Rhinolophus ferrumequinum: one gene and its partners. The protein of the gene in region 4 interacts with the protein of the main gene of each other region in a pairwise test. Links are inferred from orthologs where the notes say so. Each region holds a gene or a part of one and is shown on either strand. Other genes may lie near its edges.

Region 1 (8,271 bases), on a different chromosome or scaffold from region 4:
GTTAAAATCCAGAATATATAAAGGACTAAAACCCAACAATTAAAAAACTCAATTCAAAAATGGGCAAAGCACTTGAAGAGACACTTCTCCAAAGCAGAAATACAACTAATAAGCACATGAAAAGATGCTTGACATTGCTAAAAGGGAAATACAAATCAAAACTACATTGAAATCACCTCACCCAGTAGGATGGCCACTGCCTAAAAAAACAAGTATTGTCGAGAATATAAAGAAAGTGGATCCCTTGTACACTGTCAGGAATGTAAAATGGTACAGTTGCTGTTGAAAACAGTATGGCAGTTCCTCAAAAAATTAAAAATAATTACCAAATCCAGTAATTCCACTTCTGGGTATGTACCCAAAAGAATTGAAAGCAGGGTGTCAGACATACTGTACACCCATGTTTGTAGTAGCATTGGTCACAATAGCTAAAACATGGAAGCAACCAAAGTGTCCACTGATGGATGAATGGATAAGCAAAATGTATGTATGTATATATATACAGTTGAATATTCAGCCTTAAAAAGGAAGGAAATTTTGACATGCTACAACATGGATGAACCTTGAGGACATTATGCTGAGTGAAATAAGCCAGTCACAAAAAGACATACTGTATGATTCCACTTACATGAGAAAGTCAAAAATCATAGAAATAGAATGATGGTTGCACGGGCTGGAAGAAGGGGAGAATGGATAGTTATTGTTTCAAGGATATGGAATTTCAGTTTTACAAGATGAGAAGTTCTGGAGATGGACAGTGGTAGTGGTTGCACAACAATGAATATTTGATACCACTGAACTGTATATTTAAAAATGGTTAAGACAGATTTTATGTGTACTTTATCACAAAAGAAACAAATTAGAAAAAAGTTATTGGTCATGCAAAGAAGCAGGAAACTATGACCAATAATAGAGAAAACCAAGAGAAACAAACCTAAAAATGACAAATGAATTATCAGACCTTAAAACAGCTTTTATAAATCTTCCATAAGTGCTCAAGGATGTAAAAGAAAATATGAACATGATGAGAGAAGTGGAAGATATAAAAGAGACCCAAATGAAATATCTAAAAATGAAAATTTCATTATCATTTAGAAAAGTACTCTGAGTAGGATTCATATCAGGTTAGACATTACCAAAGAAAAAGACAGCAAACTTGAAGAGAGGACCTTAGAAACTATCCAAAATAAAGCACAAAAAGAAATGGGATTGGTTTTGTGAATTGATTTTGTATCCAAAAACCTTGTTAAACTCTATTACTCTAATAATTTACCTCTATTTTTTGGGGAGATCTACACAAGCAATCTGTGAACATTTGAGAGTTTTTTCTCCCTCTCCAATCCTTATACCTTCCCCCCGCCCCTTTCCTTTCTTTCTGGCTAGCACCTAGAGTACAATGCAGAATAGAAATGACCAGTGAGTGTGGTGGTCAACCTCCCAGGTAGCACCAAATAATTCCTGCCTCCTTGTATCACACTCTTAGTAGTCCCTGTCCCACATTGTACCAGGATTTGGTGACAGCATATGATCAATAGCATAAAGCAGAAGTGACAGTATGTGACTTTAAAGATTAAATTATAAAACACTGCCTTCTGTCTTGGACACTCTGGCTTTCCCTCTCTCCTGAATCATTTGCTCTAAGAGGAACAAGCTGCTACGGTGTGAGAAGATCTATGGAGAGGACTTTGGCCAATAGTTACCTAGGAACTGAGTGAGGTCTGTCAACAACCACATGTTGACTAACGAAGCTCATTAGCTTGGAAGTGGATTCTCCATTCTCAGTTGAGCCTTGAGAAGATCATAGCCCTAACCAATGGCTTGACTCAACCTTGTGAGATACCCTGATCCTGAACAATTCAACTAAACTCCCCTAAATTTCTGACTCTCAGAAACTATGTGGAGTAATGTGTATTGTTTTAGGGTAGTACATTACATAGCAGTAGATAACTAATATAGTGGGCATCTTCGTTTTGCCCATTTTTTTACTGTTAAGATGTTTGCTATTTTGTTTAAATTTTATTTTTGTTTATTGTTAGATGTCCTTTATCAGGTTAAGGAAATTTCCTTTTATTCCTAGTTAAGTTTTTGTTTTAATCATGTATGAATGTCAATTTTTATCAAATACATTTTCTGTATTTGTTGAGATAATTCTATGATTTTTCTGCTTATATTAGTCTTTTTCAAAGAATGAATTTTAGCTTCATTTTGCTCTATTGGAGGAGTGGGGGAGATGCTTCCCCACTGCTCACACTACAAACCAGCAAACAAAGGCTTGGGAAGAAGGGCTCAAATCTTCTTTATTGCACATTTCTTTAATTTCTTCCATTTATCTAATTTCTGTGCTTATTTCCTTCTACTTTCTTTGAGTATGTCTGTACTTCCTCCCCCCCCCTCTTTCTTTTTTTTTTTTTTTGTTATTAGGTTGGATTATTCTCCCCCACCTCTTCGCTTTCTAAAGTATCAGACTATATCTTGGCCTGAAGACTTTCCTACTCCCTTTTTCTTTCACAGAAATTTCCCCCAATAAATCTCTTACACTTCTCCTTCAACAACCCAAAGGACCATCAACTGGTGAATGGATAAACTTAAGAAAGTGATAAAAACAATGTAAATACTGCATATTAAGAGTATGCCTGTCTGTAACTGTCACATTATGAGCAGGACCAAAAAAAAAAAAGGAAAATTTTTCCAGTGTTGGAAAACTATTCTCTCTTTCAGCAAAGAATACTACTCAGCAATTAAAAAGGAACAGACTACTCATGGATATATTCAACATGGATGAATCTTACAAAAAACAAACAAACAGTATGCTGAGCAAAAGAAGCTGGGAGCAAAAAGAATACATATTGTATGGTTCCATTTATATGAAGTCCTAGAACAGTCAAGGGGATGGAATGGGGAATAGATGGCAAAAGGGCATAAAGGATCTTTCTGGGATAATAGAAATGTTTGTATTTTAAGGGTATGATTTCATGAGTGTATGCATTTGTCAAATTTTATCCAACTATACATTTAAGATCTACTCATACTCATTTCACTGTGTTACATCTCAATACAAAAGTGCAAAAACAAGTTGGTTAGAGTGCAGGGCTCATAACACCAAGGTCAGCGGTTTAATTCCCACATGGGCCAGTGAGCTGCGCCCTCCCCAACTAGATTGAAAACAACAACTTGACTTGCAGCTGATAGGTCCTGGAAAAACACTGTTCCCCAATATTCCCCAATAAAAATGAAAACAAAAAAGTGCAAAAACAATTCTTCTTATGATGATTTAAGATGTCATTTTCTTCTTGTAGTTCTGTCCTGTAGGGACAGCTAGGAGTGCAATTCCCAGGCTTTCGGCCTTACGTGGAAAGGTGCTGGCTCAGGTAGTAAATGGCCATCAACTGTGATTGGATGGCCATCAGCTGTGGCTAGTTGGCTGTTAGCTGTACCCAGTGAACCACTGGCCACTAATATAACTGCTGTGCCTACACTAGCAGCAAATGGGGGATAGCAAGAAGACAGTGGCAGAGCTAGTAAGCACGGATTGCAGTTAGCAAGGGGGGGTTGGTTGGTTAGCAGAGAAGTGGACGGAAGGTTGCAGATCGTGTGGATCCTGTTTCCTGTGTCTCCAACCCAGCTGCCAGCGAGAATATAGTGGTATGACTCCACTATCTATGGCTCCTTTTTGGCCTCACCATATCCTGCATTCTTATGTGGCGAGCGGTACCAGGGACCCCACATGCCACCTTGCATGACATGTCCACTTCTGCTTTATATGCTTTGAAGCTATGTTATTAGGTATATATAAATTTAGAATATTGCTGGTGAATGGAAACTTATGAGCTCTTCTACATACATACACAACATGTTCTATTCTATTCCTATCTAATCCTATTCTTGCCTATCCTTGCCTAGTCTTTTGTAGTGCTTCAACATGTAGACACATCTTGCTGTTTTGGGGTCGGGCTTATACCAAATCCCAAGACAGGCACATGCAGCCACAGAACCAGCTGCATGTGAATGACTGGAAGTCCCCACTATGGTCACTTGGGGCATCCATACCTCATGTGCTTTCAACTCTGGCTTCTGCTCCGAATTGAGCCAGTATTTGTTCAGTGTGAGAAGCACACTTCAGCTCAAACCAAGGGCAGCTTAAGGAGGTGGGGGAGTGGGGGGGATTTTGCAGGTGCTCACACACCAGACCTGTGAACAAGAAAGGCTTGGTAAGAAGGGCTCAGATCTCAGAGTTGAGTTCTAGACAGCACATGCTGCACACTAACTTTATGGTGGTGATGGTCCATGGCCGGTTATGGAGCTGGAGGCAGGAGGAGGCTGGAGAACAGAGAGGGAAAGTTACAACAGCCTCAGCCTCAGGAAGTGGGGGCTTAGGTAGCAGGTGGCTGAGGCTGCACCATGTCTGCTATTTTCAGGCTAGGCCTCTCTTAACAGCCACGTGGCTTAGAAGGGAGGTGCCGTTTGAAGCGCCCAAATCTCCAGTGGGAAATGTTAATGGGATGAGATGGAGATGTGGTGTGTCTCTGGTTACTGTTGGGAGCTCGCGACCTCCACCACCACTATAAAGTTATTTAAACCAAGCAGCGAACACCTACATTGTCACTCACTGGTGGGTGGGCTAGGCCCCACCCAACTCTGGGCTTTTATTGGTCAGACCAAGAAAAATCGCGTACCTCGCAGCCTTCTTTGGATTGGTCGATTTCTGGTAGCTCTCAAGTCAATCAAAGTAAAATACCGCACTCTTTTCCATTCTCTGACTCCATGTTAGGGAAGCCATGTTAGGTAGCAGGATGCAAACCTTGCCACTGTTCTGAGACCCCACACAATAATATCCCCTGCTTTCCTCTAACGCCGCCGTCTTCTTTTAACATGTTAGTTCAATGAATGAAAAGGCGCTGTTTTCTTTATTTACAAAACGAGTTGTTTTATTAGTATAATGTGAGAAGTCTGCGTTTAGGCGGTGAGGCGCGAAGCTGGGGAAGCGATGCCCTGTTCTGCCTGCCAACCCTCCAATAAACCAGCAGAGACTCAGTTCTAACTCCCATCATCCAGGAAGCGCCCGCCTTGAAACTCCTGCAGCGTGCGAGGATTTTCAGTAACTTTTGGCCCCTCGCGGCCCTTGTAGCGTCCCTAGTTACCGTGCCCCTAGTAACCGCCCACTCCAAGCAGGGAGTCGCCAGGTAGCTAGAGGCCGCGCCAGCTTCCCAGCCCCGGCTCGGCGCGGGCGCTCAGGCCTCGGCGGCGAGCTGATGGCCGCCTCGCACCCAGCGGCGGAGCTGGAGTCTTCCAGTCTCCAAACCCCGGTAAATCCCAACACCTGGGTGCGGGTGGCCCAGTACCAACGCGAAGACCCGTTAGAGGCTCTGGCGGCAGCGGCCTTGGAGGAGGAGAAACAGGAAGAGCGGGAGGAGGCGGTGCGGCCGGCGCGGGCGCTGGTAATGTAGGGGCGGGACGTGGGCTAGGGTTGGGCGCTGGCTGGGTGCAGGCCGGTCGACCTCCCCGCTGGGCTGAGCGACGTGCTGGGAAACGCGGCGCCCTGCCCAGATCCTCCCTATCCGGTTATCCTGGCACAGCACCTTCTTTCTGGCCCCATGAAAACCCCTCAAAACCGGGCGAGGCGTTGAAAAGTCTTCTAATTTTCACCAAAGAGACTGTTGTAAAAATTTCTTAGCGTTTACTTCACTCTGTTTAGACTAGAGTGCAAAGTACAGAACCTTAGTCCTTATTCTCCAGCATCTATCAGAAGTAGATATTCCCTTTAATTTTTGACTCGGGGAAGACTGATCTACCCCCATAGAGGATAATCTATAAAACTCAGGCGAATCAACTGTACTGTCAGAAGTGTGTTTTGTTGTCACCTTAAGATCTTGGTTATTAGTGCATCTTAACTCGATACATAAGAGGCGATATTTAAAACCATCAAATGTTCAGTGGATACATCAGACACAGATATAGTAGTTAAGCATCCAGAGAAGCAAATTACTGAAGACCCAGTATTTCCTAAATGCCTTTTCAGGTTGGCTTGAGACAGCCTTTTCACTGATACTTTTCAGTGTCATGTGTGTCCTGAACACCTGTCCACCAGGTAGAGGGCCAAGACTGCCATCTGTGCTATTCCCTTAAAATATAGAAACATTGAATTTTAACTATCTACCTGCAGCTATAAATCTCCAGTTAAAGATTCTTAATACTATTTGCCCAAGCCTCTCAGATACAAAACATTATGGTCTACAGGGCTAATAGAAATCAGTAGATATTTTGGAATTCTAATCTCTTTAAACTATACTAAAACCGTTAATCAGAAAATCTGTAGCAACACCTTTTATGGTCAGCATTTCACCAACAGATGTAAATTATTAGAGGTTATCCAGAGTAAGGCTTATTCAGACCCTGAACATGAACCAGAGTGAGTCTAAGGGCCAGTTTCATTCATGATAAAGTTTTCCTTCAACACAACTTTAGTAGCCAAGAAAGGAGACAAAGTGATGGAGGAAAAAAATTTGAATGGAGTATTTGGAGTCCTGATTATATGACCCATTCTCTGCTATTTGCTAGATGACATTAAGATGTAATTTCCTTCAATCTCTGTTTCTGTATCTGTAAAAGAACTATAATAATTGTCTCTCTTTCTTGCCTCACTGGGATATTATGAGAACCAAATGAGAGAATGTGTGTCGTATCTAAATAACAGTTTGTATAAATTAGTAATAATAATAACTACTGCCAGTGAGACTGTCATTTGAACAACCTGCCCAAAGATTAAATTCTATTTTGGATTGCTGTGGTAGAGGAGTCAGTTATTTCTATAGTTGCAGTATACTTCCATAATGCCTTATCAAACTGCAAATTTGTATTAGAAACTTAATTACTTTCAGAGAGATTAGTTTCAAAGGGACAGAATCCTACACCTCCCTCCCCCCAAAAAAGGAAGTTAAGTCTTATCAATTTGACACTGTTTGTGACCACTACACTTGAAGGACCCAAAAGCAAACCTGGACAATCTGCTCCTTATTGCCTGATAACCAGAGGATACTGGGGTGGGGAAAAAAGCACTGAAAAGGCAGGAAAGAGAGTGCGGGAGCCAAGCTGGCTTGGGTCTGCACCTTGATTTTTAAAGGTTAATTTGGCTCAACTTTGTCATCTATAAAATGTAGTAAACTCAGATACCATAGCCATCACACAAGATTGATTAGAGAACCAACTGTCATAGTAGGCCTCTTCCGTTTGCCAAAGCCCCCCTACCCCTTGCAAGACTGCCCATACTGGGCACTGAGGCATGTTCCTTGAACCTAGCCTCAGCTGGAGATATCAGTTCATAGGCTTTGTTACATGGTTGATGATGACACAGGTATAGCAGTTAAAATTTCCACAGTTAAAATTTCACTGAGTTTCCTAATGGGGTCTCTCTCTCTCTCTTTTTCAAAATCAAATATTGAGCATTTATTAAAATTAAATATTGAGCTAGTCACTGACTCTTCAGTGGTGAATGAAGCAAACATAGCTCTCATCATTGCAGAGCTTCCAGTCTGGTGGGGAGGCTACATAATAAAGAAAAATGAACAATGAACATAAGATGGGAAATTTTGGAAAAGAAATTAACAGGTTACTATGATTTTTAAAAGAAGTAGGAGGGAACCTATTTAAATGAGTTAACATTTAGGTCAATGTCTGATAAATGAAAAAAAGTAGCCATTTGAAGAGTAGGGGTGGGAAAAACATTCCAGGCAGAGGGAACAGCATATGCAGAGGCCGTGAGATAGGAAAAGCTTTGTATGATTAAGGATCTGAAAGAAAACCAACAAGACTGGGAAAGAGTGAGGGGAAGAAAGGGAGAGGGGAAGAGAGTAGGTTGGCGAGGTCAGCAGGGCCTGCTCGTTCAGGGCCTTATTTGACCAAGTAAGGAGTTGAGTGTTTATTGTAGGTGGGTGGTCCTTGAAGACTTTTAAGAGATCTGACATATTCCTAGTTATATTTTTAAAATATGACTCTGTGGCTTTGTGGAGAATGATTGGTGGGCTTGACAAAGCAGAAGTAAGAAGATGGTTAGGAGGCTGTTGCAGTAATTCAGGTGTTATAGGTAGTGGCATGGACTTAGAGTCTACGGAAGATGGCAAAAAGTGGACAGATTTCTCTAGAATGGATAGGAATCACTGTTAAAGATTGGACGTGAAAGCAAAGGAAGACGAAGAAATGAAGAATGCTCATTCCCAGGTTTCTGGTTTGACCAGCTGCATGGAAAGTAAGGGCCATTTACTGAACTGGGGATAACTT
Region 2 (7,432 bases), on a different chromosome or scaffold from region 4:
CGGCACTTATATCAGTGGCTAATAGCTAACCGGTAACAGCTGATGGCCACCCAGCCACAGCGAATGGCAATCTGATTACAGCTGATGGCCATCTTACTACCCGAGCCAGCACCTTTCCACGTGAGGCCGAGAGCCTGGAAACTGCTGTCTGGGACTCCGTCCCCACATTCATTTTTAATAAAGTGGATAGAGGACTGAGTTACTAACTTGGAAGAGGTCAGATTTCAGAAGTCAGTTAAAGGACATTATACTCCATCACTACCATAACTTACCACAACAGACCTTGGCATTGCTGGTTTAAACACTGAACAAAATTCCAATAATCTTTTCTCATAGTATTTGCAGAGTGTCATTTCTTCATGAGGCTCAAGAAAGACTGGATCATTGTGAAGAACCTTTAGATTAAAAGTTACACCAAAAGTTCAGTCAATTGAATCTTAAAATATTTTTCTGTCCAGATTAGTTTCTATTAATATCTCCAGCCAAAGGGAAATATACCACAACTCATTTCCACTTTATAGAATTGTTCATTATTACACAAAATGGCTTTAGGAAAAAATTTAATAACCTAAAATTATACCATAATTTCACAATTTCTCAGAATGTCAATTGGGTATTTGCTTCATTAAGGTATAAGCAATCATGATGGAATGTATGCCTATGCTTACAGGTTTGATGTCATTATTTAGAAATCAAAAAGAAGATATACGTGGTTCATATTTGGAAAGTTTTCAAGACTTCTTTCTCAGTCAGTTATTAAGTCACACAGGTTGAGGTAAGAATCAACAAGTATTGCAAGGATAATTCTGACCCTGAAAACATTACTTCTTATCCACCTTTGTAAATTCTCTACAGAATGCATTCTAGATGGTTAATAAATACAACTTTACAAAAAATATCCATTAGATGCTGTTACTAGTTTAATTACAATTACCAAAATAGGATATATTGATGTCCTAAACCCCCAGTAGAGGCACACCTCAGAAATAATGTAGGTTCAGTTACCAGACCTCCACAATAAAGCAAATAGTGATCATTTTGCTGGTGGAGGGTTTGCCTTCAGTTAGTGAAGAAAAAAAACAAACACATCTGTGAAGCACAATAAAGCCAAGTTCAATAAAATGAGGTATGTTTGTATGTGACCTCAGAATGTGACCTTATTTGGAAATACGGTCTGTCACGTGGGGTGTCATGCAGGGTCTCTGGTCCTGCTCCCCACAAAAAAACGTGAGGCCAAAAAGTAACATCCATGGAGCCATAGATAGGGGAGTCATACCACTATATTCTCTCTGGCGGCTGGGTTGGAGACACAGGGAGCAAACATCCGCCAGTACCCCAACAAAGGGACTCCCTGCACCCCAGTCTCTCTGGCAGCCAGGCGAGACTCACGAAGTAGGATCCACACAATCCACAATCCGCCGTCCACTTTTCTGCCTGCCAACCAACGAACCAACCTAGCCACAGCAGTTATATCAGTGGCTAATTGGCTAACTGATAACAGCTGATGGCCAACTAGTCACAGCTGACGGCCATCTACAACCCGAGCCAGCACCTTTCCACGTGAGGCCGAGAGCCTGGAAACTGCTCTCTGGGACTCTGTCCCCACACTGTAGATGTAATCAGATGTACTAGAGTAGAGTTGGTTCCTAATCCAATATGACTAGTATCCGTATAAGAACATGTGAAGATACAGAAACACAGGAAGAACACTATGTAAAGATGGAGGTAGAGATTGGAGTTATGCTGCCACAATTAAAGGAACACCTGGGGTTCCTAGAAGCTGTATGAGGAAAGGAAGGATCCACCCCTACAAGCTTCAGAGAGCAACTACCTGCCAACCTTGATCTCACTAGCCTCCAGAACTGTGAAAAAATACATTTCTCTTGTTTTACACCACAGTTTGTGGTAGTATTTTTATGGCAGCCCTAGGAAACTAACACAGGTGCTAATTTTATAGACAATATGGCATTGCGGTTTAGAGCAGGAATGCTGGAACTAGATTCCTTCCTTGGGTTCAAATCCTGTCTCTGCCACTTACTACCAATGTAGCCTTGATTAGTTATTGCTCTCTGTACCTGTTTCTTCAGCTAGGAAGTGAGGATAATAACAGTCTTTACCTCAGTAGCTGTGAAAATTAAAAGATCTAACACTTGCCAAATGCTTAGAATAGTGCCTGGCATGCAGCACAAAAATAAAGTGATATGAAATAGCTGTGACTTAAAAGTACAGTACCTCAGTCCCAACAATCTTAGACATGGAATACTTGCTGGAGGGAAGCTTGCAGTTACTAGGATGGGTGTTGGAGCTTGTGAGGGAAAGGTGGTTGGTAGCTGTAACAGGGAGAACTTGGCGGGCAGGCCATAATCCAAACCATCTTCAATCAACTGGTTTGTGCAAACGGTGTCTTGTCTCCCCGCCCCCACCCTGCCCCATCCAATCCATTCACCACCAGGATGCCAGAGGGCTCTTTCTAGAACAGCATCTGTAAAGTTAATTTCCCATTTAAAATCTTTCAAAGGTTCCCCATCCCTTCATCAAGTTCAAATTCCTTACTTTCGCTTACAAGCTCCCCGCCTACCTTTTCCAGCCTGTCTTGCACAGGTGCTCTGCTACCACTACAAACGATCTAGAGCATTCCAGGAACCCGCCCTACAACTTCCCACTTTGCACCTGTGGTTCCGTCCTCCGGGAATGTTCTTTCCCCATTTGCTTCGCATCAGCTACTGGGAAAAGCCCTCCCGGAGGTCTCCTTTTGACAAGTGAACGGCTCTGGTTCCGCACTACACGGACATCCTACAAAGTCTCCTACGCCATATTACTGGTTATTTGCCTGCCACTCAACTACGGAAATGGTGTTGTCCGCCTCTGTACCCACAGCACCTGACAAGGTGTTCGCCTGTTTATTAAACAAATGAACGTGCGCTCCGGAGGGAGGAGAAGGGGAGGTGTCCAGAGAGCCCCGGGGGCGGGGGCACTAGATCCCGCAGTTGTTCAAGAGTTAGGAGGTCCGGGCAGCGGGGCGGCCACCCGTGTCCTCACCTTCCCGTTCGCCACCGCTTTGCATTTGAATTTGCGGTTGGCGTCAGCCCGCAATCGTGCCAGCTGCTCCTCACTGGCGAAAGTCCAGTGCCGCTTCTGGCTACTGTTGTGGTACATCCTTAAGTCCGAGACCAGGCCCAGGAAGTCTGGAGAAAAAGACCCCAAACGCCACCACACCGTGGTGTAAAGCAGCTAAACCACGACAGCGCAGGGCGTCAGGCCGTCAGGCGCGGGTGCGCTGACGTCACAATCACGTGGTGACTTCGTCGGCGATCGCGTTTCCGGAGCGGAGAACCTCTCTAGCGCTGATTTAGCCGCCGCCTGCTCCCTAAGTGGCCGGAGCGTACGGATATGCTCCGCCTTTCTGCGAGCCCTGGCTCTAGCTCCGCCCCTTTCCTACAAAGCTTAAAGGAGAAGTGACAGGCTGAGATGGCCAAAGGAATGTAAATTGAGGGTATGTGCAGGCTAACATAATTCACACGGGGTAATCAGAAGAGGGGGCAAGGACTTAGGAGGGTGTCACCTTTTTTAAATAGGATATTCAGAGTAGGCTACACTAAGAAGGTGACATGGAATAAAGACTTGAAAGAGTTGAGGGATTAGGCATATCAGTCACGTGGGAGTGATGCTGGGGCAAAAAGAACAGTGAAGGCCCTAAGGCAGAAGTATTCCTGGCTCTTTGAAGAAAGAATGTGTCTGGAGCACTACCAAAAATCTCTGCCTCAGAGATAACAGAACATGGTTGGAAAACTAGAAGCAGTGCATGTGTATTGTTCTTTATTGCTCTGCCAATAATGTGACCCTATCTTTTTCTGTGCCTTTTCCTTTCCTCTTCTGCTCAATTGGATTGGATTCTGCCAATCCTTTCCCCCATTTCCATCTCCGAGGCCATGACGTATGGTAGTTTTAGGATTTTCTTGAAATCCTCATCTTCATTATTGCCCCAAGGGAAACTTGCAATAAACTATCTGTTAATACTTAAAAGATTCACAATTTTTTTGTTACTAATACTTTCAAAATTGCATTTGAGATACAGAATTTACATGAATTCCAAAAGCCTTTACTAGTTTTGATATCTGTCCCATTTAAGCACACCACGTTCTCCTATGCATCATACATTGGGTTAGATAGATTTACCTACAGCAAATCATTTTTCTAAACACCAACAGATAAAAAATCAGGTAATGAAGATGAGACACAAAGAGTTCAGATATTCAAAAGACCACACAGTTAAAAATAGGTGATAGGATATCTCTAACTCTGCTTTCTGTGAAAATGTTTTTAGCTGCTTAAGAAAGGGAGAGCTTTTTCTTCTTTTTTGTTTCATTTTGGCGAGTACAGTTGAGGGTAAGTAGACTTTGCCAGAGTTATTTGAATTGCACAAACTTACATCATTTGTAGTTTATAACTCTGGAGATCCAGGCACTCCTTGAACATGTGTCAGTAATTCAGACTAGTTAAATTGGCTAAGAGAAAAGAGAAAAAGAGAAAGAAAAAAATATGAGGTTGTTAACCTGGGAAATAAAAAGCCAAAGTGAAAGGCAACAAGCATTTTTTTGAGATCAAAGAATAGCTATTAGGAAAGCAGTGATTCAGGCAGAAACTCAGAAAGTGTTCTGATTTTGGGGGGAAGGCAGGGGTTTTATGAGAAAGGGAAGGGAAATAATTACATGAATAGAAGAAAGGAATTTCTGTTGATGTTAGTAAGCTAATTTTTAGCTATACATGGTTGTGCTAATTCTACAGACTGCCCTTAATTTTCAGTCCTTGTAGTCAGAATGTCTGCTTACTTGTTATTTTTACAAACTGTTTGGAATACAATGTTGGCTTTGCCCAGTCCAAGGATTATTTTTCCCATTCCAAATGTTTGAGGAAAACACATGCAAGGCAGTTCCTTGGAGTGGCTATAATAGCTCTATTTTAAAATGGCTTCGCTTACATCAACTTAATGTTAAGGAGGGACATGGCAAGTTATGACTCCAGTGGATTGTGAGCACCATAAATGATTGTATAACGAAGAATAATTTAAAAGGAGAAAATGAAAGGTAGGCAGGAAAGGAAATGATTTAGATAAATGAATAAAGTCTTAGACCCCTGTCAATTCTATATACCATGTCAATTCTTTTTATTTTGTTTTTCTGAGAGGCATTTGACAACTACTTCAGTTTCATGTAAAGGGAAATAAAAAGGGGCATTTGGGAGAGGTGGCAGAAAATGATTACCACAGGGATAAGAGTATAACTGCTGAATGTCATAATTCATTTAGGAAGACAAATATGAAAAACCTGGTGTTTCTGGTGTAACTATTTTATAAAATCTTTAAAAAATTTTAGTCTATGAAAATTAACCTTGACCATGCTTTTGGAATGTAGAAGAAATTGTACCTAAATTAACCATGGACAAAATAAAGTTGTTGCTGATGCCCTAATATTAGGACTCATATATGATTTCTTTTTCTTAAGGTGAGCCAGGCTGGATGCTGCACCAGTCAGTCTGCCTGAATGACATTCCCCTGTTCAGCTTGTTGAGCATGTTTATTTCTTGTACTATTTCAACCGGAAGGCAGACTTAGAACTTGGACTTAGAACATGGTGCCTTTACCTATTTCCATTTCTAGTTCCAACTAAAAAGTAGCAAGTGTTTCTCTCCACTCTTACGTGTTTATAAAAAAATTCAAACATTGAGAATAGAGAAAAATGTATTTCAATAATTATCCTCCACTCCCCGACGTCCCCATGACTTTTAAATCACAATCTCTGCTGCTAGATGGAGATGTTTCAAACAATAAAAAACAAAATAGACAGAATCTATACTTCCTAGAAGAGCAGTACAAACATTCAAAATTTGAAAACAAAGATAGTACTAATTCATTGGGCTTTACCCAGAAGTGAATGTTAACTAATAGGCATGATTACAGTGCCTTCTTTTAAATAAACACAATCTTTTAGTGTACTGCAGTTGTTAAATTGTGTTGCAGTATGTATTTTTATAACAAACTAAGTATTTTTAATTGCAGACATTACGTCAAAACCAGAGGTTGCCAATCAGATCAAGCGATGCAAAGCAGAGGTCATCTGTTGATCACCCCAGAAGCACTATACTTATCCATATACCATGCCAAAGCTTCCCATGAGAGTATTAAGAATTCCTCTCTCTTGAATTTATCATGTTAAGTGAAATAATTCAGACAGAAAAAGTCGAGAACCATATGACTTCACTCATATGTGGTACATAACACTGAAAGCAAAAAACTAACAAGACAAACAAACAAAGAAACAAAAACTCATGGACACTGACAACAGTTTAGTGGTTCCCAGAGGATAAAGGGGAAGGGGGGTGGTAGATGAGGTAAAGAGGGTAAAATATAAGGAGAACTGATTCTGGGTGGTGACCACACAATGCAGTATATGGATGATGTAGTATAGAAATGTACACTTGAAACCTATAAAATTTTACTAATCAATGTCACTCTAATAAATTTAATTTAAAAAATGAAAGTTTACTCCAGTGTAGAAAACATAAATTTCTCTCTTCCTTTAGGACAATATTCCTTCTTCAGGCTCTGCCCTAGTGATCTTAATGTTTTAGAAAAATAAAGATAAGACTGCCTGATTTTAGGAGTAAAGGTAGAAAGGGAATAAGAAGGGTGAGGGAGTAACCAATAAATATATGTGCAACTTGAAATAGTTTTGCAGTCTAATAAAATATTTTAAGTGGCCTGATTAATTTATAGTCTTTATTTTCCAAACATATCAGTATACTCATATTCACATAGTTTCTGATTTCATGGCTACAAGGAAAATAGAATGGTGTTTTGGAATAAAGCCACATCCATGCTCACAAAAATACAATGTCTTTCTTACTTTAAAATCTGACATGAAACTGTACCCCTTCAGCTACTGACATGGGTTTCTGACATTCTAAATATAGCTTTGCAATGATATGTAAAAACAAGACTTTTGCAGTTCTATTTGATATATACACTTGCCTCTAAAATCCTTTTCTAGTTTGTTTGTTTTTTCCCAGTGACCAAGTTAGGACTAAGAGGAGAAAATATCTAGTTTCTCCAAAACAGGGTACTACTAAAGGAAAAGAAAAGAAAAAAAGAAACAGCATTTAAAAAATATCCTTGATCTAAATGTAACCTCCCAAAACTGAAACACTTTTTCTTTTGTTTTAGGACTATTTAAAATTAAGGTGTAAATAGACTTGACAACATAGTGAGGAGTGAATTCTATAAATTCGTGACCATTTCAGCATATCTTACTAAATCACCACTATACTCAAGGCTTAGTACTAATTGTTAGATGGTGGTGGTGATGGTGATGGGAACATAAAAATGGCTATTTTATAGTTCCTACCTCAGGGTCCTTTGAGTATAGTAGAATAATTA
Region 3 (7,749 bases), on a different chromosome or scaffold from region 4:
AGGTAGCAGGCTCACTATCAGAGGGAACTCTGCTAGCTCGATACTGGCCACAGTGGGAACATTTATACCACAGAAATTGGTAAACACTAGAAATCCGGGGACCCCCAAGCCCCCCTCCTCCCACCCATGAGCAGACTGTTAAAGCATTGACCAGAAGCACAAGCACACCATTGGTTAAGGGGGTTTAGATACCAGAATTGGGGTTGTGGTTTCAGGGTCAGATTTGATTGCTATGGTAGCTGTCAAACTGTGGAGTCAGAGGTCAGGTTCCGGGGTAAGGGCTGAACTCCTCAAGTTGAAGGTCAGAAGTCCAGCTCAGGGTTGGGGGTTGGGGTCTGAGATCGAGGTTGAGCTCTCAGAGGCTGATGTTCTTAGGTCAGAAGGTCAGACATTGAAGATGGGGGTTGGGAGTGGAGTTCAGGACAGAGTCAAGGTTGGACTGGGTTATCACCTCCTTCCGCTGGGGTACACGGCGCCACCAGACATGGTCACAGGAGGAGCAGGCAAACTGCCGGTCCACAGCAGGGATGAGGTCTTCCTGGGCACGTTGGAACATGCGTAGGTTGGCTTCTGTCAGAGGCAGGAGGGAGGTTGCTACTGCCTGTGAAATGAGGCGGGGTGAGCACTAGAGGGTGGTCGGCCTTCCTCCACCAACACAAACAAGTCTCAGCCCTCCTCTCCTAGCAGATGCACCCCCTCCTCCACAATGACCTCACTCTCTCCCATGGATGTCCTCCCTGTTCCACCTCCCCCATTCCCACCTGGACTCACCTGGATATCCTGGTCCTGCTTCATGTCCTCTGGTGGATCCTGGGTGGAGACACCAGGGGCAGAGGCTGGGGATTCAGCTCAGGCCTCTTTTCACCTTGTTTGTTGGCGGCCGGGCTCCTGGATGGGACCCTCCCAGCCCCATATAAGAGTAGGGTGTTCCTAACTCACAAGGAGCTGATTGGCAGCGCTCTTACTGAGACCAGGTACATGACCTCTGTTACCCTTATAACAGTCCTGAGAGGTGGGCACACCTGTTATCCCCATTACTCAGATGGGGAAACTGAGGCCCAGAGCCAGGAGAGGGCTTGCCTGAGATCAGAGCAGGCCTGGACCCCATGCTCCCTTACTGCTGGTTAAATACCACACATTTGTTGGCATTGGGATGAGTTAGTTGCCTCTTTGAGGCCATGCTGCTTTAGGCTAAGTGTTCAGTCTCTGAGTTCAGATAGATGCAGGTTCGATCCCCAACTCTCCATTACTTCTAGCTGTGGCAGTGTGGCCAAGCTACTCCCCCTGGGTCCTTAATGAAGGGCATCTCAGAGCCCAGTCTCTGACTCTGAGTGGCTCGGGTTCAAATCCCAGCTGCCACCTGCATGCTGCATAATCCTGGCCAGTGACTTCATCACTGTCTGTTTCCTCATCCATAAAACCTGGTAATAAATAATAGGACCTGTCTCATGGGGTCGCTTTGGTGATGAAATGAATCAACAGGTAAAATTCCTGGAATCCTGCAGCAAGGAAAGTGCTCAATCAATGCTAAATGCTACTCTTTATTTTTTATCATACTCTTTATAGGTATAAATGTCAATGTATAAATATAAAGAGTATGATACATACTTTATTATACTCTTTAACAACTCTATACTGGTCTTTCAGGCAGGCAAAATCCACAGTGCATCCGCCACCAAAGCCATCTAAAGGGCAAAGTGGCCATGATGTATCTGTGCTTTAAAGCATTCATTCATTCATTCATTCATTCATTCATTCATTCATTCAACAGGAGCCCCCTACCCCCTCTCTCCGGTTCCCCATCTCCTGTTCATCCCAGCCTGTCTGTATGTTCCTTTGCTCACACTATTCCCTCTTCCAAGAAGACTATTTCCGACCCCTCCATTCCCAGGGATCACTCTTTTTCAGCCTTGATCAGTTGACACCACATCCTCCAGAAAGCCTTCCCTGACCTCTAGGGCTCCTATGTGATGACTTAAATCCTGGCTAGCGTCACTAACTAGTTTCATGTCTCTCTCCCCCATTTAATACCATTAGCATGGAATGAACACCTACTGTTTGCAGGCTCCCTGGCAGGACACACAGCCCTTCTGTGAATAAGTAGATGTGGTTGGACCATGAGTTGTAGACTGGCAGTGCACTGAGTGGGGCTCACCAAGGATGGGCAGGGTTCCCTGTGTTCTCCCTCCCCAGTTACCCTGTCCTTTGAGCGTAGGGGGGCAGTTTACCTGGGCATCCAGGTCATTACTCAGTTCCTGTCCATCTTTCTGCTTTACCCCTGGTGGGGAGAGTTAAGTGTAAGTGAAGGGCCCTTGAAGGATCTTGTGGGAGTTTCAGGGTCTCCGGAGCCCCAATACAGACCATCCCCAAGAGATGATCTCAACTCCTCTTCCTACCCTCCGAACAGACCGAGCTCCCCCGCGCGGAACACCCACCAGTCCCGGGAACCCTGCCCGCTCACCGTACACGATGGAGCGGCCCACTCCGGTGTGGTCGCTGTCAAATTTCCTCATCAGAGTCCCCGCCTTCCTGTTGGAGACCTTCCCATAAAACTTCTCCCGGAGGCGCCGGACGCTCTTCTCCAGCTGGGATGGGGACAGCGAGGCTCGGAAAGGGGAAGAAGAGAGATTGCCCCTCCCTATTTCTAGGCATCCTTCTCTGGGCCTGAACTTGACCCTTGGTTTTGGCCTCCGCATCCCCCACCCCCATCCCTCCATGGTATTTCCTGGAAAAGCCAAAGTCCCCACCGGGCATTGGGGGAGGGTGCGGACTGGGGCGAGCGTCCTAGGCTCGGGAGGAGGCCGGCCAGGTAACCCCTGGCCTCTGACCCTTGACCCTGCAGCCCCTGCTTTTCGCCCAGGGGGCCGCATTTCGCTCAAGAGGAGGTGGCGGTCACTCTCCTTTCTGGGGGGGGGCAGACAAGGAGGAAGGTCTGGGCTACGGATGGAGTCCCAAGGAACTGCGAAGCCCCCTCTGCGGCCCCGGCCCTTCCCGGCGTCTCTTGAGGGCCCTGGCCCAGCCGTAGCCATCTCCTACCTCCACACCTTCTTGAGACATGGTGGCAGTCACGCAGGTCCCCGCGAGGGTCCGCACTGCGCGCTCGGAGTCCCCCTACCTGGGCGCGCCCCGCGGTCCAGCCGCGCGCAGGGCAGGGGGCGGGGCTCCGGGCCGGCTCCTCCCTTCCTTCCCGGCCCCCTCTTTCGCTTTCGATTGCAGGGAAGCGCTAGCTCCACCCTGGCTCCGCCTCTGCTCTTGTGCCCCAAACCGAGGAGGGCTCCCGGGGTCCGCACTCTGCGGCTGAGCGCGCAGACCTCCGCCAGGAGAGGCGGCGCGGCCTCTGCAGTCGGTCACATGTCCCCACGCTGCGCGGGGTCCGCGTCTTCACGTCCCTCGTGGGGGCGGGGCCGCATCGGAAGGCCGCTGCGAATCTCGGGCTCCCCCTTCGAATCTGCTACCCCCGCCGCAGCTCGCGCTCCCCTAGTTCATCGCCTTCTCTCCTCACCCAGAAATCAGGCGCTAATTAAGACCTGGGCACCTTCCTGACTCTGAGCCTCTTACCCGGCCACATCCCCTCTCTGAACCTCAGTTTACTCCTCTATAAAATGGGGGTGATAAGTGACTACATTCTGGGGGTGTGTGTACGCGTGCGCGCCAGGATTCCAGACCCCGGATAGAACGCTTAGTAGCTCTTGGCATGCAAACTAGTCGGGCCAGCTACTCGGTGCCCGTCCAAAGGGACAGGCAGTGGGGGGATGGGGGTGCTTGTTAAAAATACAGGTTCCTGGTCCGGCCGTCAGCGGTTCCAGGGAATCTGTATTGTAAATCCAAAGGTTGAGAACCCCGACGTCCACGACGATTCTAACCCACCCAGCACAGGGGGCTGGAGGGGCTCTGGCCCAGCCCGGAGATTTCAGGGATGGTTTCTTGGAGAAAGGAACGGCTCGTATAGTCCTTGGAGTTTGAGGTCTTAGCTAGATGAAGCACAGAGTGGGGAGAAGGAAGCAGCTGGTGAAAAGACCCCAGAAGCAAGAGAGTCTGACGTTTCTCAGCCTCCTCACGGCTGCCATTTCGGGCTGGGGAGTTCTTTGTGGTGGGCTCCGTGCTGTGCATTGTAGGATGTTGAGCAGCTTCCCTCCCTGTCCTCCGCCCACTGGATGCCGGTGGCACCCCACACACACCAGTTGTGACAACTGAAAATGTCTCCAGACATTGCCAGATGTCCTCTGGGGGGCAAAATTGCATTAGGATAATGACTCTAAATTGTTTTCCCAATTATGCACCTCCATCAGTCAGAATGTTGAAGCTCTACCCCCAGATGGATATTTACTTATAAATTATGTAGAAATACAGTTATACCAATGGATTCTGTAGATTATTTTATAATAATATATTATTACATATTCTTTAGCAAACAAAAAATGGAGATAAAAAATAGGTGCGCTGATGTTTTCTACTTGAACCCCAAAGCTTTGTAGGTCTAGAGACTGCTCTCTTAGCGAATGTAAACAGTTCATGGTTCTTTGTGGCTGAATGGTGGAATTTCAGACAGGGATGGGGGCCCGAAGTCTGCACAGACGACCTGGGATTTTGTCCTGAGGGAAGTGGGAAGGCCTGGGGGGCTTTCCCTTTACAGCTGCCAATTACTACTTACCCAGTGGAGGGGAAGGTCACAGCTATGTCCCATCCCCTGGCCAGGGTGGACACCGAGTGGGCAGGAAACAGGTGGGAGACTGATCCAGCTATGACAAGAATCAAGACTGCTAGATTCTTATAATAATGGCCACCATATTGAATGCTTACACTGTGCCAGGCATTGAACAAAACAAAGATCCCCAGAATGTAGAGCTGCCATTATAGTGGGGGAGACAGACAAGAAACAAATATATAATAGGACAGGAAATAATAAGTGCTAGGGTGAAATATGAACTGAGATAGGGGGATAGAGAAAGGGGGATCAGGGAAAGCAGTGGGAAGTGACATCTGAGGGGAAACCTGAAGGAGGTGGGAGAAGAGTTCCAGGCAGAATGAACAGCAAGTGCAAAGGTCCTGAGGTGGGAGCATGGGAGGACTGTTAGTAGTTGTAGTATTTCTCTATTGCTGTGTAACAAATTAGCCCCAAACTTATTATTTCATATAGTTTTTGTGGGTCAGGAATCCAGGAGTGGCTTCGCTGGGGTTTTCTGGCTCAGGGTCTATCTGTTTCTGAGGTGGCTCACTTACATGGCTGGCAGGTGGGTGTTGGCTATTTGTGAAATGCCTCAGCTCCTCCTTAGTGGAGATGTACTCCCAGCTTGGCAGCTGGCCTCCCCAGAGCAAGTGATCCAAGAGAAGGAAAGCCGGGTGGAAGTTGTATCATTTTGTGACCCAGCTTTGGAAGTCACATTGCATCACTTCTGCTGCTACCTCCTGCATGTCACTAGATCCAGCCCAGGTCAGGGACGGGGAATGAAGACTCCACCCTCTCTCTCCTCCCACTCTCCCATCTCCCGCTGGAGTCTCTCATTGGCTGCAACAGAAGGCAAGGAGGGCAAGGGAGCAGGTCTTGTTATCAGCCTCTCAGGGAATAGAGCTGGGGAGAGAAGGGTGAGAATTAATAGGGGAGGACAAACAGAAGATCAAACCGGAGTATTGAATGTTGGCATTGTACATGAACAGAAAAATAAACATTCCCAGCGATCACATGGGGCTGCTCCCTATCCACCAGCAGTTCTGTTTGAGATTTGCAGCCATCTTAGCCTGGCCAGATGTAACTTGTTTGTGCAGTGGTGTGAGCATTCCTGCATTTTATCCTTTGTCTTTATAAAAAGGTGTGGAAAGGGAGACAATGGATGTACTGATAACAGTGATAAGAAATGTAGCCTCTGACACTTTAGTATAATTGAGTCAAAGATGGAGCCCATTTGATCCATCCATTCATTAATTTGACAAACATGCATCAGGTGCCTTTTTGGCAGCAAGCATAGTGCTGGGGACCATTTCTGCCCTTCCAGAGTAATGGTTTTAATGGGAATTTTAAACTACGTATCTCATTTGATCCTCATAGCAACCTATGAAGCAGGTAGTAGTATTATAAATGGGAAAACAGTTTTTTTTCCTGACTGCAAGAATCTCCTCAAGGGGTGAGTTACTTAGGAGTTACTTAGGTGAAGAGATGCAGAGCAGAGGGAGCAGCATGTGCAAAGGCCCTGAGATAGGAAGGCGCTTGGTCCATTGAGAAAGCTAAAGGTCAGTGTGGCTGGGCTTAGTGAGAAGCAGGGAAAGTGGAAGGGGGTGAAGCTTGTGCCAAAAGCAGCAAATATATATATTTTTAATTAAACTTTATTGGGGTGACAATGGTTAGTAAAGTCACATAGGTTTCAGGTGTACAATTCTGTAATACATCATCTATATATCACATTGTGTGTTCACCACCCAGAAAAAAAAAGCAGCAAATCTTGGCTTTCAGCTGGACCCTTTGAAGCTTAAGCTGGTGACCATATGTTTAATTGTGGAGGAAGTGGACACAATTGGAGCATGTGTGTGCTTTGTGCAATCGAGTAAATTTTTCCCTCAGTTTAACCAAATGAAGAACGTTGGCAATGCCCAGAATTGGAGGTGTGGGGAAATGGGAACTCTCCAAACTGTTGGAGAGGGTGTCCCTTGGTAGAATCTTTGGAGAGGGCAATTTGGCAAAACCTTCTAAAGCATTAACAATGCTGAATTAACCATTTCTTTCATTTTGTGTATTCTGACGCTTTGACATCTGGGGCCTCGTGACCCTGGGGGCACTACTCCTCCCTGGGCACACACAAACCATTTGTGGGCATTTCTGCATGTGCATTTCCACACCACCTTTACTTCCCACATTGCTTATTTCTCTAACAATTGCATTTTTTTGGCATTGCTTTTGTAATCAGAACCAAAATATACACAGTAAAACAAATTCAATTACTTTACAAAATAATATGTATGAAACTCTGGAAATATATCTTTGACAATGACACCTAACTGGAGAGACATAATTTGGGATTTCATAATTTGTATAGTCTTCAGTGAATAGAATGTCCTTTACAACACAGAAATCTGTTGTTAGAGTTTTGCGAAATCAGTTTCAAACACATTTCCAGTAATGCATTACGTGCAAAAGTTGGGGTCCTGCTCAAATGAATTCGGTGAGTGGAGAAATCTCAGTGGCTGAAATACTCTGAGTGTGTCCAAGGCTCGCTGGGTGCCAGGCTTTCTGTGGTATGTCCTCTGGGCTTGAGGCTACAAGTCATCCCTCAGCCTTTTGGCTTAGATAACACTGTCCCGTTCTCAGATGAAGAATCTGAGTTTCAGAGAGATTAAGCAGATCATGCAGGACACCCAGCTAATAAGTGGCATAGCATAGCCTGAGCTTGAACCTAGGCCAGCTGTCCACAATGCTCCTTCAAGCCAGAACTGAGGACAAGAAGTACAGAGGTCAAGGGATGCATTTTGGAGCCAGACAGTCTGGGTTTGAGTCAGTTGCTAGCTCTTTGAGCAATTTCTTGACCTTTCTGGGCCTCAGTTTCACCATCTCTGAAATGGGAATAGAATTGTTGTGGGAGTTCCATGAGTTAATATAGATAAACCATTTAGACCTGCACTGTCTGACAGGGTAGTCACTGGCCACATATGGCATTTGAGCCCTTGAAACATCGCAGGTCCTAATCCAGATGTGCTGCCAGTGTCAGATGCACACTGGATTTGGAAGACTTATGTAAAACAACACATCAATGACTTTTTATA
Region 4 (8,227 bases):
GGCAAAACACTCAGCAGACCGGACAAAAATCTGAAGCACTAGGAATGGAATACCTAGATGATGACCAGGCATTTGTCTGCTATTCTCCGTGTTTATGTCTGCGGGGGTGAGATAGAGCAAGGTGGGGTGGGGCAGGGTGGGTAATGAGCAAGGATAGTTTTCCTTTCTGAGAATTTTCACCTGGGTGGAGGTGGGAGGAAAAGGGAACAGAAGTGGTCTATTTTTCCTGCAAACTCAGCCAGCACTTTGTAAGGTGGCACAGGACTGTCATTTCAAGTTGGACTACTACGGGCCCAAATCCAAAGGGACTGGCCAGAAGTGAATCATCTTTGGAAATGCAGCATGATGCAGAGATTCACTCCAATAGAGGAGCCAAGCAGAGCTAAGTATAAGGCCACCTTTAGAAATCAGGAAGCAGAGCTGGTGGTCTGGTATTGCTAGGCTTACAAAGTGAAGATTGTCTCAAGACCCTACTCCAGTTCTTTCTTTTCCGTGGGACTTTAGCCCACACGTGGGACTCTGAGATCTTGTAGACTTTGGACGTTGTCCTATACTATTTTCTAGTTAATTACTAACAGCTTTAAATTGATCTTGTGAATGAGGTCATGGATATGAAAATTCCTGGTACAGTACCCACCCTGCCACCCTTGGAAAGATAGTCCTGGTCAGCACACAGAATTAATGGAAGTGGGGCCAGTAAGGAGAGATGACTCAGCCCATCTTCTCATCTGTTATAGCATGCAGGCCCTAATAAGAAATGTTCTCCACTAGATCCAGAAATTGTTGCTACTATTGAAATAATCCAGATGTTATGAATTACAGAAAGCTGTAATTCATAAAAGCTCATTAGTACCCAGATTTGAATATATATGTTAGTAGAAGTTGTGTGGCCTGAATGTTTGCTGGGGTATTTGAAACATTAGTTTCTGAACAACTCATATGAGTAAATAAGGGTAGATTATTAACTGAATACATATTAAAGTATGAGCCTATTTGTTTCAACAAAATTAAAATATTTTAAAATTACAATCATACATACCTGTAAAAATTAATATATAAGTTAATCAAATGTAAAGTGAATGTTCCTTTCCTCCTATCCATCTCCTACCCATTCTCAGTAGTAACAGTTTGGTTAACAACCCTCCAGTGCAGGCATGGAGGGGCTGGGGCTACAAAGGCAAGCGCCACCAACAAAGTCCCTGCCTTCATGAGGCTTATATTCTACTGGGAAGAGACAGACCATACGCAAGCAAACAAATAGATAACTAAAAGCAAGTCTGGGAAGTTTGCTCTATATGTGGAAGTGGGATCCAAATGATGAAAAAGAATCAGTCTTGAACCCTGTGGAAAGAGCCTTCCAGGAAAAAAAGAGAAAAAAAGGGGGGCTGCTATGGCTGGCACTTTGCATGTCCAAGTGCGAGTTCCAGGATGGCGACAGGAGCCAGATCATGTGTGCACAATTTTGTAGGAAGTTCAATTTCATGCTAAATACAATGAGAGGCCATTAAAAGTTCTTAACTGCAGTGGGTTGGGGAAGAGAATCTGATTTTCATTTTTGAAAGACTCTGACATAGTGGTGGCAAGAGTGGAAGTCTGCAGACAGATTGGAAGAGATTCATTCACACATACACACAAATATATATATATATACACACACACACACATATATATATATAATTACTCTTTGAAATTATGTTCAGAGTCAGTTTACTGTCTGTCTTAGGAAATCAAATAACTTGTTTTTTGACCTTTCCCTATCCACCCAAATATAGTCACTTAGTTGGAAAACACACGTTTGACACTTTAACACGGCTCCAGAATGTGTTCATCACATTTGACTCTGCTTTTGGATTGTCTCAAAAAGCAGATTCCTTCTGAAAGGAAGAATTCTTTTCAACAAAGTCAGTAACTACTGAGGTGATAACTTTTGAGTAGCATCATTAAAATATGTATTGAGCCTGCTAAGGTGATTGCTTTGAAATGAAAAACACTTACTTGAAGTTATGTTCATTTATTCACCAAATAATTATTGAGCACCAACCGTTAAGTACCAGGCACCGTTTTAGGCACTGGGATATATCAGTGAATAAGCAAACAAAATCTCTCTCTCTGCTGTGTTTACGTTCTAGTAAATGGAGATGGACTAAACTAACTAACAAACAAACAAAGTAAACTCTGTATTATGGTTGAAGATTATATAAAAACAAGGTAAGAGATTTGGAAAGCTGGATGGGGATTGCAATTTTTAAAACTGTTGTGAGGTTGGGCCTCACAAAGAAGGTGATTTAGGCTAAACTAGAAAGCAGATTGGTAAGTAATATAGATGTGAAGAGGAAGAACATTAAAACAGAGGGAATAGCCAGTGCAAAGTTCCTGAGGCAGGAAAGTGCCTGGCAAGGTTGAGGAACAGTGAGGTGACTAATGGTTAGGTGAGTAGAGGAGAGAGTTGTAGAACATGAGGTCAGAGAGGTGAGGAGATGGAAGGAAACTTCTAACCATGGAAAAAGAATTTTGGCTTTAACAATGAAAGAGGCAAGTCAGGGCAGAGAAGTGACATGATATGAATTATATTTTAAAAGAATTACTGGGACCACTGTGATATAAATAGACTATAAAGGAACAAGGGTGGAAGTTTTGATGTGTTTTAGAAAACAACAACACTTCATAGTCACATTCCCTTAATTGTGCTAAAAGAGGGGAAAGAAGCCAAAGTATAGCATTAAAAAAAAATTCCAGATTGTATCCTTTCCCCTTTATCTTTCCATACCATAGCGAAGTACCATCAAGCCCAATTCCTTTAGCCCTGTGCTAAATGTTTCCTTAGACTATTTTCAGGCTGCAGCCAAATTCTTTACCTTGTCCTATATATCAGTCAGGATCTTCTTGGCTACAAGTAACTGATTACCTGATCATAGTGACTCAAGCAATAGGCTATTTACTAGCTCACATGTGAACAGTCCAGATATACAGAGCCAAGAAAGGTTAATTTAGCCATTCAGGGACGTCTGGGTTCTGGGTTGTCTTTCCTGGTTTGTTTGTTTGTTTGTTTGTTTGTTTGTTTGTTGCTTTTCTCTCATTGTTTCAGGATGTGTCACCACAGCTCCAAACGTTTCATGCTCACTGGGGGATGGCCAAGGTAGGAAGTATGGAAAAGACTTCTTATGGGCTCTCAGGGATAAAACTCTTTCCCTGAAATCCCCCCAACCACCCACTTCCCACTGTGTTCTCAGAATTATGTCACCTGCTCATCTCCTTAACCAGTCATTGACAAAGGAAAAAACCACCTACCAAGACAGGTGTAGACCAGTGGTTCTCAAAGTGTAATCTGAGGAACCGTGGAGGGGGATCCCCAAGACCATCTCAGGGAGTCTGCAAAGTCAAAACAATTTTTATTATAATACTAAAATGTTATTTTTTCCTCCCATTCTCTTAGGAGAGTATAGCGGAGTTTTCCAAAGGCTGAGACAGTGCAACAGACTGAATGCACCAGATAGGAAAATCCAATTGCCTTCCATTAAGCCAGACATTAAAGAAATTTGCACATTTTAAAAGTAATACCATGCTTTACTTTTTTTTGGAAAACATTGTTAGTGTCCATTAAAATGTGCTATTTAAAATGTCGTTTTTACTATTCTTATTTATTATTATTCTTCAAATATTTTTAAATTTCTGTTTTAATTTCTGTTATCATGAACATCAATAGATAATATGAGGATATTTGTTTACGAGGATAAACAAAAGCTCTTTGGGGCCCTCAATAATTTATTCAGACAGCTCTGATTCATCCTTGGAGCTGGGGGCGGGGCCAAAATTTCCTGAGCTCACCTCAGCCTGAACCAGTCTTAAAATCCTACTCTGTAAGTGGTTAGGTCACAACAGGGTATTCTAGATGCTGCTTATTAAATTGATCTCAACTCCTCTAGCTAATCAGAGAGTGAGCTCTTCCTTTTAAACTGGGAAGTGAAATGGTCAAAATGAAGCTTCAGGTGTTATTTCAAAGAAAAACTGGTGCATTAAGTTTCTTCTTAAGATGGGAAGAGGTGTGGGATTTTAGGAGGTGGACAATTGAAATTTCAAAACTCCTCTAGGGAGCAGGGGTTTCATGCTCACTTGATGATGGCCAAGGTAGGAAGTAAGGAAAAGACTTACTCCCACTCCATCATTAGTCTGTGTTGGAAAGTAATGTAATCATTGGTAATAATTGCTTTCTTTCCTCCCCACCAGCCCTGTGCTAATAGCCTCTTTACAATGGTGGGTCCCAACGGTTATTTGGCTGTCATTCATTTAGTCTCAACAGCATCCATTCCGGCCTCCTGATCCTTTAGGCCAAAGGCAAACTGGAGAATTTCGTTGGACTCTGAAATTGTCACCATGGCGTGCTCATTGTCTCGCCTTGATCTTTCATCCAGGATTGGGGATGTGTGCGTGTAAATTGGGAAGAAGGCACTAGTCTCTCCCTTGTTATTCACTGTTAATATTTCTTATTCTGTCTCATATTATTGTGGTATTTTGGTTTCAAAGTGCTCTCAGAAGCCTCCTTAAAACACCAAACCTGTTTTCTCTTGAGTAAATCCCTTGGCTTTACACACCAAAAAAAAAAAATTAAATAAATCATCGAAGTATATCTTTGTGTTTGTAACAACTCATATGCTTGCGATTTCACCATCTGATCTTCCTTTCTTCGGTCTCTTCTCTTCCCAGGAGAATTTTAGGCTTACATGGAACCGGGGAGGAGCCGGCCTGACCCCGGCTACGGTGCGGCAGGCGTACATTTTCTTTTCACATATTTGGTGAGCGGGTGTGGGATATTTTTGCATAAATTTCTTGTTCATTAGTGCCATTTCTTAGTCTTCCGCCTAGGTCGTTTTCTCTGCCCTAATTTTACGTGTAACTTTCTCCCGGTTGGGTCGTTTCATCCACGATTCCCGACGCTTGAACATCGCTTTCCCTGGGCCTGACCTAATTCTGGGTGCCGGCTGTTTGGTTTACTTCTCCACTTTTGCAAGCGCACGTGACTCTTCAGGGAGCTTCACTTTTTCTCCTACGGTGGGTGCTGGGGTTCACTGGCGCTTGGAACACGTGCTTTAATGCAGCCAGGATGCCCTTCCCCCACGGAGTCCGAGGCCCCGAGCTCTGCAGGCGTGAGGAGGGGCAGGGAGCAGAGCCGGGCCGGGTGAATCACAGGGCGTAACAGGTGCCGCAGCCGCAGCTGCGCCCGCATCTTGCTGGGCTCCAGGGATAAGGTTTTCTTTTTCTCCGAGTTTTTTTTTTTTTTTTTGTGGAGGTGGGGAGGAGGCTCCCGAGGCCCCCACCGAACCAATGCAGGCCGCGGTTGTTCATCGCTTAGCAACTGGCGGAGCCAATGGGAGGCGGCCGGGCCTGCGACGCGGGGGCGGGGTGGGAACCTTGCGAACCTGTGGAGGCGGGGAGGAGGCCGCGCGGGGCGGAGCGGAGCCCGGCTGGGGGCGGAGAAGGCGGGAGCCGGAGGCGGAGGCGGGGCCGCCGGCCCGGGGGCGCTTCTTGCAGCCGAGCTTGTGCCGGCCCTCCGGGCTGAGCGAACCGGTCGGTCTTGGACTCCTAGTGGTGCCTGCCCGCCTCTCCCGGGAACCGTGACGGGTGAGAGCCTGACCCCGCGGCAGGGATTATGACGCGCCCGCCTCACGGGCGACGGCGCCGGCGGGTGGTAGACGCCGGGGAAGGGCGGGAAGGCAGGCGCGGAGGTGAGCGCCGGCACCTAGCTCGGCGCGGCCGTTGGGGCCGTTGGTGGAGGCGGACAAGCGGTTACCCCCTCTCGCCTCGGCGGTGCCGGGAGGAGGAGGTGGGAGGTAGGTGCCAGTTCGGGGACCACTCCTGCTGGTGATCGCAGTGCTCTGCCCTCGGGAGGGCTCCGGCCCTTAGAGCCCCAAACCCTCTCCAGGATGGAGAGAGGGTGGCGCCTGGCGTGGGATGACGAGCGAGGCGGGGACGTGGGGGTGGAGGGGATGGCCAATTTGGGGCTGCGGTGTCTCAGCAGAGGCTGCGGGGCGTGCGGGCTTCGGGATTTGTTAGCTCCAGCCGCAAGAGGCAGTCGTTAGAATGAGTTACTGGGTGGCCCGTGGCCGCTGCAGTGGAAGAGAATCCCAGTGGTAGTTAAAACGTCTAGGGGAAGAACTTACATCATCTAAGAGGCAGGCATGTGTGAGAACATTTTGGTGTAGAATTTTATAGTAACGTAGAGAAAACTAAATTACGAGCTCCCTGTCCTCTTTTGAGCCTATGGTGGTCGTCCAGTTATGCAAGTCACTTGGGCCCAGGAAATGGAATCTGCTAGATAATTCGTTCTCAGCATGTGTAATACGGGAATCTTTAGATTATTGCCCCACTTCAGGGTCCGTAGTTATGATTGCCAAATTATCATTACTTGCAACGCTGATACTGTTCTTGTTGGATCTGAGCGAATTGAGGTTTCCCTTTTCTGGACCCCATAATGGGGTGAGGATTGGCAGAGGCACTCCTCCGAGGGTGGTTCACAAGTGTAAGAGGGGACTTCCTGGAATTTGACATTGCTGGGCTCCCCTAACAGGTCAGATTGGAGGCTAGGCCTAGAGATGGCTGTGAATGATGGGTGCCTTGGAACCCTTCACGACTCAGGAGAGATTGATATACTCTTTAAATAGAAGAAAATTCTGGCAGCCTTGATCCTGATCTGGAAAGGTAGGTATGACTTAACACATTTAGGAGACCGAACAGAATTTGAAAAGAATTAGAGATCTGAAGAGAGAAAAAAATGCCTTTAGACTTAAAGTTTAGATCAAGCTATCTTGACATTTAGAAGTTGAGCTTGGATTTTGTCAGCAAAACTTAAACTGCAGGCCTAGGAAGCTTAGGTTATTCATTCATATTAAATAAGTAAAAGCTAATAACTAATTTGACACTATTCTGCCTGCTGTCAGTGAAAGTTTCTCAAAATGGTTCTTTGAAAACGGGATGAAGGAACTGATAGTTAAAATGAAGGCTCTTTTAGTGACTTGCTGGGTCCTTTCAGCCAAGTAATTTTATACCCTTCCTTTCCTTCTCTTTCCCCATGTGTACAATGAAGATAATAAAGCCCTAGGATTAAGTATCATGAGTGAAGCAGCTTGAAGATAACTGCAAGGAGTTAGTTATTCTAAGATGAAATGTGAAGCTCTCCTCATAACACATTGCGCCTTGTGACAAGACTTAATATGCCAAAGCATAATATGTTCCAAACCTGCTGAGGTGTTAAAAGAAAAAACTAAAACGTTAACTGTTCAGATGATTTGCCAAAGGCCTCAAGGCCAACACAAGATTAGGCCCATCCAAAAATCTGACACAGCTGCTCTTTGACAAAGCTGGCTATGACACAGGTTTTATAAAAGGAGACGTTTGAGTGTCTTGTATGTAATATGCATCTAGAGATAAAAAGATACTGCCCCAGAATTGTGTGATTTTAATACATTTCACATGCTTAAATTGGAGCAATTCCAAAGCTTTTTAAGTGATGTTTTCTCATATCATGTACTAGTAGTTGTGAATATGACTTACAGGTTGGACCAGATCACGGAGAGGTTTTGGTACTCTGTGGGTCTGTTTCGTGTCTGTTGATGGTGATCGTGATTAGCTGGTAATGAAGGTACAAGTTATCTTGAATTCACGAATTTATAGGGTGAGATAGAAAAGTGCACCATTGTTGATAATGGAAGACTACCTAAAATCTTTACTTTTGATAGTGGGTCAATACTATATAGTACCAGCAGACTTACTGAATTATGGTTTGTTTTTTTTGTGTTTTTTTGCGGGGGAGGGGAACAGGACTTTATTGGGGAACAGTGTGTACTTCCAGGACTTTTTCCAAGTCAAGTTGTTGTCCTTTCAGTCTTAGTTGTGGAGGGCGCAGGTCCAGTTGCCGTTGTTAGTTGCAGGGGGCGCAGTCCACCATCCCTTGGGGGAGTCGAACCCGCAACCTTGTGGTTGAGAGGACACGCTCCAACCAACTGAGCCATCTGGCACTGGCCAGATGTGGGAATCGAACCGGCAGCCTTCCACATTAGGAGCATGGAGCTCCAACTGCCTGAGCCACCGGACCAGTCCCTGAATTAAGTTTTAATAATTTATTCTTTCAAGAAATATTTATTAAATACTTCCTAAGCCTCTATTGGCCAGATCTGAAGATAAAAACGATGAGTGTTGCTTTGTGGAGTTTGTTTTAGGAAATTTATAGTATAAT

What was found.
Region 1: the proteins of SSX2IP (region 4) and FAM161A interact in binary tests that used the Homo sapiens proteins (3 or more experiments, as listed by UniProt). The two-hybrid records come from large-scale screens. The link is inferred for Rhinolophus ferrumequinum from reciprocal best matches to the Homo sapiens genes SSX2IP and FAM161A.
Region 2: the proteins of SSX2IP (region 4) and CCNH interact in binary tests that used the Homo sapiens proteins (3 or more experiments, as listed by UniProt). The link is inferred for Rhinolophus ferrumequinum from reciprocal best matches to the Homo sapiens genes SSX2IP and CCNH.
Region 3: the proteins of SSX2IP (region 4) and SHFL interact in binary tests that used the Homo sapiens proteins (3 or more experiments, as listed by UniProt). The two-hybrid records come from large-scale screens. The link is inferred for Rhinolophus ferrumequinum from reciprocal best matches to the Homo sapiens genes SSX2IP and SHFL.

What each region holds. Positions count from the first base shown.
Region 1 is NC_046296.1:27,369,507-27,377,777, forward strand, and holds the start of FAM161A (protein FAM161A), read left to right. Parts: upstream 1-4,932; 5' UTR 4,933-5,249; coding exon 5,250-5,435; intron 5,436-8,271. UniProt on the Homo sapiens protein: Involved in ciliogenesis.
Region 2 is NC_046290.1:56,803,790-56,811,221, forward strand, and holds the start of CCNH (cyclin-H), read right to left. Parts: upstream 3,297-7,432; 5' UTR 3,157-3,296; coding exon 3,040-3,156; intron 2,753-3,039; exon of another isoform or gene 2,579-2,752; intron 396-2,578; coding exon 273-395; intron 1-272. UniProt on the Homo sapiens protein: Regulates CDK7, the catalytic subunit of the CDK-activating kinase (CAK) enzymatic complex. CAK activates the cyclin-associated kinases CDK1, CDK2, CDK4 and CDK6 by threonine phosphorylation.
Region 3 is NC_046301.1:40,068,702-40,076,450, forward strand, and holds the start of SHFL (shiftless antiviral inhibitor of ribosomal frameshifting protein), read right to left. Parts: upstream 3,363-7,749; 5' UTR 3,058-3,362; coding exon 3,037-3,057; intron 2,586-3,036; coding exon 2,462-2,585; intron 2,279-2,461; coding exon 2,229-2,278; intron 811-2,228; coding exon 772-810; intron 602-771; coding exon 452-601; intron 1-451.
Region 4 is NC_046292.1:63,568,869-63,577,095, reverse strand, and holds the start of SSX2IP (afadin- and alpha-actinin-binding protein), read left to right. Parts: upstream 1-5,027; 5' UTR 5,028-5,046; intron 5,047-5,462; exon of another isoform or gene 5,463-5,616; intron 5,617-5,633; exon of another isoform or gene 5,634-5,825; intron 5,826-8,227. UniProt on the Homo sapiens protein: Belongs to an adhesion system, which plays a role in the organization of homotypic, interneuronal and heterotypic cell-cell adherens junctions (AJs).